Ovis aries: one gene and its partner. The protein of the gene in region 1 interacts with the protein of each later gene in a pairwise test. Links are inferred from orthologs where the notes say so. Each region holds a gene or a part of one and is shown in the gene's direction. Other genes may lie near its edges.

What was found.
Region 2: the proteins of RBM10 (region 1) and SF3B4 interact in binary tests that used the Homo sapiens proteins (3 or more experiments, as listed by UniProt). The link is inferred for Ovis aries from reciprocal best matches to the Homo sapiens genes RBM10 and SF3B4.

The regions. Positions count from the first base shown.
Region 1 is NC_056080.1:57,656,403-57,662,845, reverse strand, and holds the start of RBM10 (RNA-binding protein 10), read left to right. Parts: upstream 1-2,950; 5' UTR 2,951-3,183; coding exon 3,184-3,253; intron 3,254-5,105; coding exon 5,106-5,247; intron 5,248-6,443. Other genes in the region: NDUFB11 (NADH dehydrogenase [ubiquinone] 1 beta subcomplex subunit 11, mitochondrial), read right to left, coding at 313-439, 594-724, 2,212-2,418. UniProt on the Homo sapiens protein: Binds to ssRNA containing the consensus sequence 5'-AGGUAA-3'. May be involved in post-transcriptional processing, most probably in mRNA splicing. Binds to RNA homopolymers, with a preference for poly(G) and poly(U) and little for poly(A).
Region 2 is NC_056054.1:100,032,562-100,039,033, reverse strand, and holds the start of SF3B4 (splicing factor 3B subunit 4), read left to right. Parts: upstream 1-2,945; 5' UTR 2,946-2,982; coding exon 2,983-3,016; intron 3,017-3,462; coding exon 3,463-3,591; intron 3,592-3,822; coding exon 3,823-4,365; intron 4,366-4,684; coding exon 4,685-4,891; intron 4,892-5,865; coding exon 5,866-6,039; intron 6,040-6,234; coding exon 6,235-6,422; 3' UTR 6,423-6,472. UniProt on the Homo sapiens protein: Component of the 17S U2 SnRNP complex of the spliceosome, a large ribonucleoprotein complex that removes introns from transcribed pre-mRNAs.

The DNA.
Region 1 (6,443 bases):
TCTGACTGCAACCACCCAAATCTTCAAGAAGGACTACCTCGTTGAGCCCAGTCAACCATAGGACCATGAAACATAATACTAAATTGTGTTAAGCCACCAAGTTTTAGGGTGTTTGTCACATGGCAACAGATAACCAGAATACCCAGAAAAGGCACCCCTACTCTGACACCCCCACTCCCACATCCTTCTCACAACAGAAGCAACACCAGCCAGTCACACTTTCAGTCCCTTTAATTAGGGGCTCTGAGGAGAGGGCAGAATGGCAGGCAGGGTAGAGAAGGTGGTGCTTCTTATGCCCCTTTTGGCAACCAGTTAGTCCTCATCCTCTGGCAGCTGGATCTTGCTGGGGTCGAAGCAGTTGGATTCCATGAGGGGGAGGCCATGGGCCTCTCGGTATTTCACAAGCCTCTCAGCTTCCCGGCGGGCCCACTCCTGCATCCTGGAGGCAGCAGCATGAGGGAAGATGTGAGGGAGCCTCAGTGGACATCAATCCCCATCTTAGTTCCCCAGGGAATGGACTCCTGGCAGTCTCCTACAGTATCCACCCCTGCCTCTGTCCCCACCCATCCCACTCTCTTGGACACCCCACACACCTGTAGTCAGGCAGATAAGCCACAAAGGTGCTGCCAAGGACCAAGACGATGGAGAATCCGAAGAAGAAGACAACTCGCATGTTCCAGACGTCCACAGCAGGGTCCTTGTCATAACCGTGGGAATCTGGGTTCTATGGCAGAGAGAAGTCAACGAGGGCTTCCTGCTGCTCCACAGAGCCTGATGCTGGTCCTGTATAACTTGGTCTCCAACTTCACCCTGAACCAATCTCTCCTCCCTCCCTAAATTCCTGTCTGTTCTTAGGACTTGTCAAGCTCCTTGCCACTACAGAGCCTTTGCACTTGCTGTTCCTTCTGTCTGGAAAGCCTTTCCCCCAGATTTAGTCGGGGCTGGATCTGTCTCCTTATTCAAGCTGTCGGCTTCATCTTCATTCCCCTTAGGAGGCACTCCCTAGTCACCTTATCTGTTAAGTTGACCTATAGGAAATTGACATTTTTACAGGTCAAAAATGATTGATATTGGCTATTTCCTATTTCTTCAACCTCATAACTTCCTATCCCTATAACTCTCCATCCACTTATCTTATTTAACTTTCTTTCAAGCATTTATTTGTTTACCAAAGTATCATATCCTTCAAATACTCTGATCACATTATATTATTGGTTGCATACCCTATCTTACTGTTTTCTAATATTTTACATGTTTATTTTCTATATTCTCCAGTACCACATAAGCTCTATGAAAGCAAGGGCTTTATCTGATTTCTATATTGCTGAATTTATAGCACATTGAACTTAGCCTGGCATACAGCAGGCCCTCAATGCATAGCTACAGAATGCATGAATGAGTATCCTATATATCCAAGCCCCTCAACAAGGGGTCAGTATGGATGAAGCATCTATTATATGCCAGGCCTTTTCACAAGCACAAATTGCACAATAACCCACTGAGGTGGAAAGTGGCAAAACAAACAAACAAACAAACTTCTAATGGTGAGTATTTGTACTAAGTGCCAGCTGCCGTTTTGAGCATTTTGACTCATTTAAATACCGGAGGCACATATAGTATTTTATTCTTTTAGAAAATGTCCTAATACTTTCCCTATCTTACAAAGAAACTGAAGCATCAAGGGCTTAAGCTACTTGCCCAAGGTCAATGCCTGTATTCCAACTATGGCATTCTGATTTCAGTCCACTATCAGATAGCACAGCAAACCTAGTTCTGCCACACATTCAGTTATGTGAGCTTAGGCAAGTCACTTAACATCTTTATGCTTCAGTTTCCTCATCTGTAGAATGGGTACACCAAAACCACCTACCTCGAAATATGGTTATTATGAGAACTAAATGAGTTAATGTATGTAAAGTGCTTCAAACACCTGAGCAAGCACCACACCAGTGTTTAGTAACATTGTTATTCTATATTGCTTCAAACGTGCTTTGAACATTGCCCACTTCAGGTTTGATGTCTGTCTGCAAAATAAGGCCAATCTCTGACCCTGAACCCGTACAAAGGAGGAAACAAGCTAGGCAGAATTTCCAAATCTTCGAAGATTTCGCCAGCTGCGCAATTCCCAGCCGACTAAGACCGTCCTCTACGGCGCCCTATCCGCCGGTCCCCGATTGACCCTTCCGGCGTCCCGTTTCCCCTCCCTCTCACCTTCTCATAGAGGTTTTCGTCCTCGGGTTCTGGGTCCTCCTGCCAGCGTAAAGTCGGTTCTGACGGCCGCTTTCCCGCCAGAGTGGACGGGGCGATCACAGCCCTGGAGGAGCTAGATTCCCAGCGAACACTGGCAGCCGGGAGCCCTCGCGTCGCCGCTACTGCCAAAAGGCGGCGGCCGCACAAACCCAACATCCCCGCCGCCATAACAGATCGTTCTGCAAGCTCTCGGGGTCGGGGACGGAAGTGTGACTCCGCGCAGCTGCAGTTGTTCTAAGCGCGAGAGTTGTCGCTCCGCCCCCGCCGCACGAAATAGGTCCCGAATCAGGACTTTGCTTTCGAACGGGTGAGAGGTTCTTTTTGCCTCACTCTGTCATGACTTCAGGGAATCAACCACCCTCTTATCCTCTCAGTCAGACTATGGAACTTCTGACCGCTAGGCTCTGGAATTTACTTAACGAAAAGAAAGCAATGACACATGCGTGGATGTTCCCAACCAATCGCGCGGAGAGCTGCCTCGCCCTCCGGCGAAAGGGGCGGAGCTTCCGTTGGTCTTTCATCTTCGAAGGAAGCCAAGCTTCTAAAACGCCAGCCTCGCCGGATTGGCCAATAGCTGCCGCTTTTCTCGACTTGCGGGCGTTCGCAAGGGGTGGCAATATGCTTGCCAATCAGAATAGGCCAGGGATGACCGAGGGCTGACAGCGACCAATAGACGGGGTTGGCCAGAGCGCGCTCCCTTAGTAGGTGGATGGTGGTCGAAGCGCCGGCTCCTTTCTCATCGTCGCCATTTTGTGTTGGTGATCGCGGCCGGCTGGGAGTAGGCGACAGTGGGTTTCCCGGGGAGGGCAGCGCTCCTGGCGCTTTTCCCCTCCCCTCCTCCGCCCTTTTGCCTCCAGCCTCGGACTTGCTAGTTGCGCGGACCGGCTCGGGCAGAGCTGGAAGAGTTGGAGGAGGTGGCGGCGGGCCGAGGTGATGTCCGGGAGCCCTCCCTTGACAGCCCGGGCGCAGAAGGTGAGAGTCGACGCTGGTCGTGGGGGTGGAGGTAAGGGGCCGGGGGTGGAGGGGGTTGCATAGAGGACCCACGAGGGCGGACTGTGGTCGATGGGTCTGGGCTTCGCGCAGAACCGACCGATGCTTTGCACATTGTGAGCCTGGGAGAGGGTGTCTTTTTTTTATTGTTTTTTGTTTTTCTCCTTTTGAGAGCAGAGGCGCGTGCGCGATTGGGGCACTGGATGGGTGCACGCGGCTTGGGGGAAGGGAGGGACGGATGGGAGTGGGCTCCTATGGCTCACTGTGTCTGCGACGCCGAACTTTTTCCGTGGGAGGCCGCTGTCTGCGACTTTTCTTTTTAGCCGAAAAAGTGTGCTCTCTGCTTTCGTGTGTGACTTTGGTACTAACCAACCCATGGGGAAGTGTTCTGTGGCTCTGGTCCTTATTCTTGGGTGGAGGAGAAGGGAGATCGTCGATCTGACTCGGGTCTCTATCCTCGGAACCTCTGTCTGTAACTCTGGTTATCCATGGGGAAGGGGTCCTTACCCATAGAAAGTCTTATTAGGACTGGCCATAATCCACTTACTGGGTGGGGGAGGAAAGTGCAAGGAAGGTGTGTAAGACTTGACTGCTCCTTTTTTTGGGGGGAGGGGAGGTTCGTATTGGTTACTCTAATGCTTATTCTGTGAAAGGGGGGGCCTGTGTGATTATGACCCGTATTTATTGTGGGTCCCTGTCCGTGGTTTTGGCCTGTAGTTCTTCGGGGCTCTAGCCTGTGACTTGGGTCCCTATCTGTTATGGATGCCTTTGCCAGATATACTGAGGGTTTTGTCTCTGGCTCTCATCCACTGGGTTCCCTGGTTGTGATTCTAAGTCTTACCCATCTGGGAGCAGGTAACTCTCATTCCCTGAGACTTTAGGAGGAAGAGAAAATTGGCAGGAATGTATACATGAAGGAAAGGTGTGGTGGCAACCTAGTGTTGGGCAGGTGCTGTTAACGCCTGGCTTTTGCTTGATTGTTGTTTAGAGGGTGGGGCCTGAAGATTCAGGGATACTTTGTGGTGACCCCTGGCCCGGTCACATGGCTCTCGGCCCTCCTTGGTTCTCACCGCAGCACTGAGGATTGCCATGAAGTGACTGCTCTCCCATTCCAGCAGAATAATACAATGCTTCAAAACAGGCTCCAAAAGGGCTGCTTTTAACCTCTGAAATACTTGGGCCCAGAGCCCTGGGTAGGGAGCCGTCTTGGGGAACCTGGCTGTGCATAAGAGACAGGCTCAGGGCCGAGCCAGTTGCCGAGTGAGGGCCAAAACTGTGTTGGCCCAGAGCCTAGGGAGGCGGCAGCTGTCTCATTGCCAAGTTCGCCCCTTTACCCCCGGAACCTTTCATGGTCTCCTGCTGTCTCATAGTGGGCAGCCAGCATCTTCTTGGGAGGATGAAATGGCACCTGGCAGCTCATGGAAGGAGCCTGGTGGGTGCCTGGGACTCCTGTCATGAAAACTTGCCTCCATGCCTAGTGTGCCCAATCTCAGACAAGTCGTCCAGCACCGAGAGCCCACCCCCACCCCCGGGCAAGTAGCTCCAGGCTTGGTCTACCAGTCTCAGATGGCAAAGCCGTGATCCCAGGATGGGTGGCACCACCAGGTCTCTCTGCAAGATGCTCCGTGCCTGCCGAGGGCTGTGCTATTTCCAGGGTGGCCGGCTCTAGCCTTGCGTTTGTAGGGAAGGGAAGCAGCAGGCCAAATAAGGGCTGCCTTCCTGCTCCAATCCTCAGGAGCCCTAGGAGTTGGGATACAGCGTTGCTGGGCTTGGGGACAGCAGAGAGCTTCGGCACCAAGCGTTTCTCAAGGAGACCCTCTCTGTCACAACTGCCCTGACCTCTTTCTTCCTTCTCCTCTTCCCAGAGTCCCTGCAGGAGGCATCACCCAGGCTGGCAGATCATGGTGGCAGCACTGGGGGTGGCTGGGAAGTGAAACGGAGCCAGCGGCTGAGGAGGGGCCCCAGCAGCCCTCGCAGGCCCTGTCAGGACATGGAGTATGAAAGACGGTGAGTTCCCCTCTAACCCCTACCCTCTCCCAAGCAGCTTAGGTTTGTTCCTGTGTGAGAATCGATCCAGGAAAGTGCTTGGAGGGGGCATCTGGGCAAGAAAAAACCAAACAGTGCCGCAGATGATTGGTTTCTTTTCAGCAAACATGTACTTGGCACTCAAGAGCCAGGACATGTACTGGGCTCTGGGAGTGCATTGATAAACGAGACAAATAAGATTGCAGCCTTCTCCTCACTTAGGGTCTCACAAGGGAGGCCACACAGTTTCTGGTTGATAGGCACCACGTGCAGTTGAAGGGTGGGAAGGGATCAAGAGAAAGGGAGGCATGGAGACTGATGCCCAGGTTTCCACTTTGGATGGATGACCCAGGTAGGTATGGAAGGTATGGACAGCCACCACAGGACAGACAGAGGTGGGTGACAGGTGGGCAGTTGTTGGGTTGTAAGTGCCTGTGGATTCTCAGGGGAGAGGTGTGGGCTATAGCTTTGGGTTTGAGGGATGGATGGAGGAGGGGTTGCCTTCAGAGTCAGAAATTTGCTCAGAAAATGTATGGGGCAAACCAGGTCAGATAGTATTACTCAGCCACGGTCTTTTTAAGATCTGGGATTCGGGGACAGGATGGGGTGAAGTTGGTGTGGACACTCATCCAGTTATTTTTAAACTCTGGGACTAACCAGAAACAGATGGGACACTTGGTAAAATACAGAGATCCTAGATCATACCTTTACCATACTGGTGGATCACCTTACTTGATTCTAATGTAGATGATTCATTCCTGATATTTAAAGATTGTATAGAAAAGTAGACCTAACTGTCCCAGAGAGCCTCTATCAAAAGTCAGTAGATTTATGAAAAAGTCATGGAGGAAATAATTTTTTTATTGCCTTACAAAGTGTTTCTGTTACCACCCCCTTTTGAAACATGTAGAATTATAACATTTTGGTTTCTGAAAAGTGATGAGCCCGAATTTGAGATGTGGTTATCATCAGGTGTTATTCAGCCTTGACCTTTCAAAATGTCTTGTGAAAGGCATTCGATTTTGGATGGTATTCAATAGTAGTGCTGTGTGGCAATTTCTAACTTTGAGTAGGTAGCTTACTTGCCTCAGACTTCACTACAAGGTAAAGCCACTGGCTTTCTTTGGGCTTTTAAAGAACCTCAAGTGCAAGGGTTTGAGTTAATCATACTTTTCCAG
Region 2 (6,472 bases), on another chromosome or scaffold:
GCTCACAGTAGTTGTGACTCCCAAGCTCTAGATCACAGGCTCAACAGTCATGGTGCTCAGGCTTAGTTGCTTCAAGGTAGATAAGATCTTCCTGGACCAGGGATTGAACCTGTGCCTCTTGCACTGGCAGGTGGATTCTTTACCACTGAGCCACCAGGGAAGCCTTACATCTGATTCTTAGAATAAGATGAGTTTCACGATTTATCTCTAAACTGGGGAGGATTATATATTTTTGTTTAACCTTCCTCTTCTTGTTTCCTCTGTCTAGTTCAACAACTATACACAAGTCTATACCCCTGGGTTCCCAGGGGCTGGGAACTCTATTAACCCACAACTATCTGTCTGGGACTGGAATTTACGCTACAGCAATAAACAAATACTACAATTCTGTAATCCTGGCTATAACCCAGAACACTGCCCAGATTCCTGGCTCCCTAGACAGCAGGTAAAGTGTCTGAAGTTCCTAAATTCCTTTGATTTTTTTCACAGGCTCATCCTACTAGATGAGGAGAGGTGATAGTGTCTGAGTTCCTCATTCCCCCTCTGGTGTCATTTATAGTCCTAACTGTCCCCAGGAAGACAGAAATCCTACAAATCACAAATGGCATCTTTTTTGGTCCTCCTCATCCTTATTAGTCTTCTTGTCTCATGCACACATTTTTATGTTTCCTTAAAATCAACTTTAATCAGTCCTGAGGCCTAGTTTGAAGTCTAATAAGGAGAGCAGATAAAGTGTTCTCAGGGGAAGGCTTGTAGTTTGATAACTGGTACAGTGTGCAGTGGGTGACAGCTGGACATTCCTTCATGACCCAGTTTGGGGAAACTGGGGGTCATCAGGTTTCTAAGTTGCCAGTTGATTTCCTGTTCCTCCTTAGCCAAGCTTCATGGTTCCTGGGCCCCCCAGTTCCGTGTGGCTCTTCTCTAGAGGGGCCCTGACACCCCTGAATCAACTCTGTCCTTGGCGGGACAGTCCCTCCCTGCTGGCAGTCTCCTCTCGTTGGCTCCCTCGACCTGCTATCTCTTCTGAAAGCCTGGCTGATCAGGAGTGGGGGCTCCCCTCACACTGGGGAGCTTGCCCTTTACCCCCGGGACTGCTGCTGCCTGGATGTCTGGGACCCCAGATCAGGCTCTGGAGACGCTGCTACCTGAGGGGAAGGCCTGAGGTCCAGGTGAGAAGGGAAGGCAAAAATTGGGAGTGGGAGAAGGGGTCTGACTTTTGAACCAGATGTTCTAGGAGAAACCAGATGTTTCCAGGAGCAGAAGGGCAAGGGTTTGGGGGACTGGGAAGTTAGATACCATTCCTATTGGTATCAAAGCGGATAGATTTGGGAGTGTGGGAAAACTGCTTCTGGCTTATATCAAGTGGAACCTAGGGGATAGCTGGAGGAGGAAAGGGAACTAAGAGAATTAAGGATCCTCTCTGCCTCTCTTCACCCTCTTCCCAGATGGGCCTCTCAGCTCCCACAATCTCTGGTCTCCAGGAGGAGCTATCCCATCTTCAAGAGTTATTAAGGAAATGGACACCACGAATATCTCCCGAGGATCACTCCAAGAAAAGAAACCCAAATACCATTCTCTCCCAATCCCGTTGAAATTGCTGGCTTTCTCATGGGCAGGGCAGAGGGTGGTCTGGGGTGAGGGAGAGTTTTGTCTAATCCTTCGGTTTTTCTTATCTGGTCTTGCTGCCTCAGCTTTCATAAACAAGATCACTGACCTGAGTTTCTATTGAGGATGAGTGGTGCTAACCTTATCCAACTCTTATCCTGCCTTGTTTGGTTTAAACAGTTCTTATCATTTGAAGAATTAAGAAACAACAACAATCCAGAAGACTGCCTCTCTTTTTCAGGGCAATTCCATGTCTTTGGGATGGAAATTTTGGATATTGCGCTGGTAAATTGTGATAATCAGATATACTGTTTATCAGTGCCAACAAGATGGCCTACAGACCTCCTTCTCACCTCCTCTTGCTGCTTAATTCCAATTTCTATTTCTTCCCTTATAGTTTTCTATGGGTATGGAATATACACAGGACACCCTATCTCTTCCAATTATATATTTTCATTGTGACATTTCTATTTAAGGAGTTCATTAAAGCACAATATTTATACACGCCGCTGGCATTGTTTGTGTCTGATTAAAGGAACCTTAGGTAAGGGAGTGGTGGGAGAGGAGGGAAAGGAATGTGACCCACGAAGGGACGGTACCGACCATATTACTGCTAAGGAAGTAAGGGGCTGGGCTGCGTGAGGCGCTGCAGGATTCACAATTTAAGGTCCTCTCTTCCGTGTAGACAGGGCAAAGGCACGCCCAGAGGTTGCTGGAGTTCAGGGTGTGCTCTGAAGGCCTCGGCCTCGGCCTCGGCCTCGGCCTCTGGGCTTCAGTATCAAACCCCCGTAAACTTCGGTACCACCCCACCTCCGAACCTCAGGTTCCCCTCCTATGCAGTGACTAGGCGAGCTCAGACATTCCACAATTCCTTCCCTGAGGAAAAAGGAAATACCTCAAGCTCAGGCCTGGGCTGTGAGGCCGCGTCTGTTCAAGGACTGCGGGTTGGGATGGACGGTTCTCCCCACGCCTTGCGTTGAGCGGTTCCTCTGTACACCCTTCTAAGGGGGAAAAAAAGGCTACAAAACACATGAAAACTAAAGTTTTGTTCTCCCAGCTTCTGAAGTGACAGTTTCGGGAGCAGTGTGACCCTTTAACTTCTAGCACTGCCTTAAAAGAGACAGAACGTTTCCTTTTCACTTTCCCCGCCGCGTCCGCTCATAGTAGCACTTCTGCACGGGAGCGTGGACCGAAGCGCACCGCTACTTCAGCCGCTTCCAGTCTCAGCGTCTCCTAAGATGGCCGAGGCCGCTTCCGGCTCCTCCCCTGCCGCGGCCCCGCCCACCACCTCACGTCAGCCTTCGCCTCGGAAGCGGAAGTAGTGACTGAGGTCAGGGGGCGGGATCGCTGCCTGGAGACGGCGGGAGCGCTTTCGCCATGGCTGCCGGGCCGATCTCCGAGCGAAACCAGGGTGACTGGAGGGGACAGACCCAGAATGGACTCTGGGGGTTTGAGGGACCTCGACTAGGCCCAGCAATGTTTCCGCTGGGGCGGGAGATTTTGCCTTTCCGAAGGGCGCCAGACTGGTCCCGATGCCTTATGGGGACGGGATGGACAGACTTGAGGCCTATAGTTGTGATGCTGTGTCCAGTCCTCTGCTGCCTTCCCACTCAAAAAAAAAAAAAAGAAAAAGAAAAGTTACAGAGTGAACTTGCACCGTCACTCTAAATTAGACATAAGATTGTCTATTTTCTGGAAAGGAGGAGCTTCTAAAAGCTTAATCTAACATCTTTTTGTTTTTTCGCTTTTCTACCCCATCTCCACGTCCACTTCCTCCGCCTGGGTTCCATCTTCATGTTCCCGTTACCTCCCTATTTCCCCTCATCTCTGTCCTTACCTCTTAATCCTGTCTTCCAGATGCCACTGTGTACGTGGGGGGCCTCGATGAGAAGGTTAGCGAACCACTGCTGTGGGAACTATTTCTCCAGGCAGGACCAGTAGTGAACACGCACATGCCAAAGGATAGAGTCACTGGTCAGCACCAAGGTGAGTACACGGCAAAAAGTACAGTTATCTATGAAAGGGACAGACTGCTCCTGGAGGTCTCCAGTGATATTAAGTTTTGGAGTGAGCAAACTAAAGATTTTGTTTCTGGAACCATTCTCAATTGAAGTTGGGATTATTATTTCTTATCCTTTGTGCTTTAGAAGACAAATGAGTTATAAACTCGTTTTTAAATCACTTCAGTTGCTAACCTCTTCTTTTCCACTTCCCCAGGCTATGGCTTTGTGGAATTCTTGAGTGAGGAAGATGCTGACTATGCCATTAAGATCATGAACATGATCAAACTCTATGGGAAGCCAATACGGGTGAACAAGGCATCAGCTCACAACAAAAACCTGGATGTGGGGGCCAACATTTTTATTGGGAACCTGGACCCGGAGATTGATGAGAAGTTGCTTTATGATACTTTTAGCGCCTTTGGGGTCATCTTACAAACCCCCAAGATTATGCGGGACCCTGACACAGGCAACTCCAAAGGTTATGCCTTTATTAATTTTGCTTCATTTGATGCTTCGGATGCAGCGATTGAGGCCATGAATGGGCAGTACCTCTGTAACCGCCCAATCACTGTGTCCTACGCATTCAAGAAGGACTCCAAGGGTGAGCGCCATGGCTCAGCCGCTGAAAGACTTCTGGCAGCACAGAACCCACTCTCCCAGGCTGACCGCCCTCATCAGCTATTTGCAGATGCACCCCCTCCACCATCTGCTCCCAATCCTGTGGTATCATCATTGGGATCTGGGCTTCCTCCACCAGGTAAAGCTTTTGATAAAAAATGTTTGTGTTGGGTTGGGAAGGGTGGGGCCAGGAAGAAGGAAAAATAACCTGGCAAGGAGAGGACATTGAGTCATTAGGTGATGAGAAAGGGGTTGAGGGATGATGATTGTGGTGGGAAGAAAGTTGTTGAGTTTTCTCCAGAAGGTTGTTGTTCAAGTCACTTAATGTTGCCGCTGACTTCAGAGAGCTGGGAGGAGGGGAAAAGAGCTCATTCGGCCTGGAGAGGCCAGGGTGGAACAGGCTCTCTAAAGGCACTCTCTGCTCACTATCATTAACTGTTTTTCCATTTTCTCTATAGGCATGCCTCCTCCTGGCTCCTTCCCACCTCCAGTACCACCTCCTGGAGCCCTTCCTCCTGGGATACCCCCAGCCATGCCACCACCACCTATGCCTCCTGGGGCTGGAGGACATGGTCCCCCATCAGCGGGAACCCCAGGGGCTGGACATCCTGGACACGGACACTCACATCCTCACCCATTCCCACCTGGTGGGATGCCCCATCCAGGTGAGCGTTCTTTGCTGGGAAGGAGAGGGATGAGCTTGATGGAGGAGCTCTGTCAGCACTTAATGCTGCTGTTCTTTGTCCTTTAACAATAATAGATAGTGCCCAAGCTCTCCTTTCTTTCAGACATTCTTTTAGGAAAAAAATGCAAGATACTTTACCGTTTATTTTAACAACCATCATGCTGTCTTCATTTCTTGTTTAAGTTTTACCAAAGAGAACAACAGGCTCTCTGCATTGGTTCTTTACCACTAGCGCCACCTGGGAAGCCCAGGCTCTCCTATCCTCATTATTTCACACCTAATTTATTTTAGTAATACCCTAACTGACACTTTGACTCTAATTATCTCTACTTTGATTGACTATCTCAGAGTAATTTTTCTTAAATACAGATATTCACACACCTTTGCTCAAAATTCTTCTGGTTGTTCCTTTTTACTTACAGAGTGAAACCCAAACTCGCTATCATAGCATTCTAGGCTTTGCATAATCTGGCTCCTGCCTGTTACTCCCATGACTACAAGCTGTTCTACTGGGTTTCCTTTAACATACTGTGCTGTTGATCACATCCATGCTTTGCACCTGCTGATTTTTTTCTGCCTGGAATGTTCTTTTCCCACTCTGTTGTCCACCTGAAAAATTCCTGTTCATCCTTTAGAATTAGATCTTTGCTGTGACAGTGTCTCTGTTATCTTCCCAGATTCTATTCAGTAGAATAATCACGCCATTCTGCAGCACTGTTACAATGCCTAAATCATGGAAGGAGCAAATGGGCTTCAGGGACTGGGGAGCTGTAGGGTAGTTGGTTGATTTATTCTCTTGGGATGGAGTCAAAGATAAGGGCACTTTTTACCAGCTTTAATTTCTGTATTCTATCTGATGTCACTTTCTTCATTTTCTTCTCTGTCTTCTTTGCCCTCCTGTCTTCTAACTTCCTTTTGTCTCATTTCTCACTGTGTCTTGTTTTGTTCTCATAGGGATGTCTCAGATGCAGCTGGCCCACCATGGCCCTCATGGCTTAGGGCACCCCCACGCTGGGCCGCCTGGCTCTGGGGGGCAGCCACCACCCCGACCACCACCTGGAATGCCTCATCCTGGACCTCCTCCAATGGGCATGCCCCCCCGAGGGCCTCCGTTTGGCTCTCCTATGGGTGAGTAGTCTTTAGCCACCTCCCTCATCCTCACATATTGTTCTTGCAGCTTGTTTTGTCACACCTCTTATCCCCTGCACTTTCTTTTCTTCTCTTTCTTTTCACTATCTCCCAGTGTATCCTCTCCTTACATTGTCCCAATATGAACTGTCTCCTATTCCTTGTTTTTACTTTGTTTTCCTTTTTTACCTGCAGGTCACCCAGGTCCTATGCCTCCGCATGGTATGCGTGGACCTCCTCCACTGATGCCTCCTCATGGATACACTGGCCCTCCACGACCTCCACCCTACGGCTACCAGCGGGGGCCCCTCCCTCCACCCAGACCTACTCCCCGACCTCCAGTGCCCCCTCGAGGCCCACTTCGAGGCCCTCTCCCTCAGTGATTTCTCATTGTTTTTCCTCCTGTTGTAGCCTCCCAATATCTATTCACTTC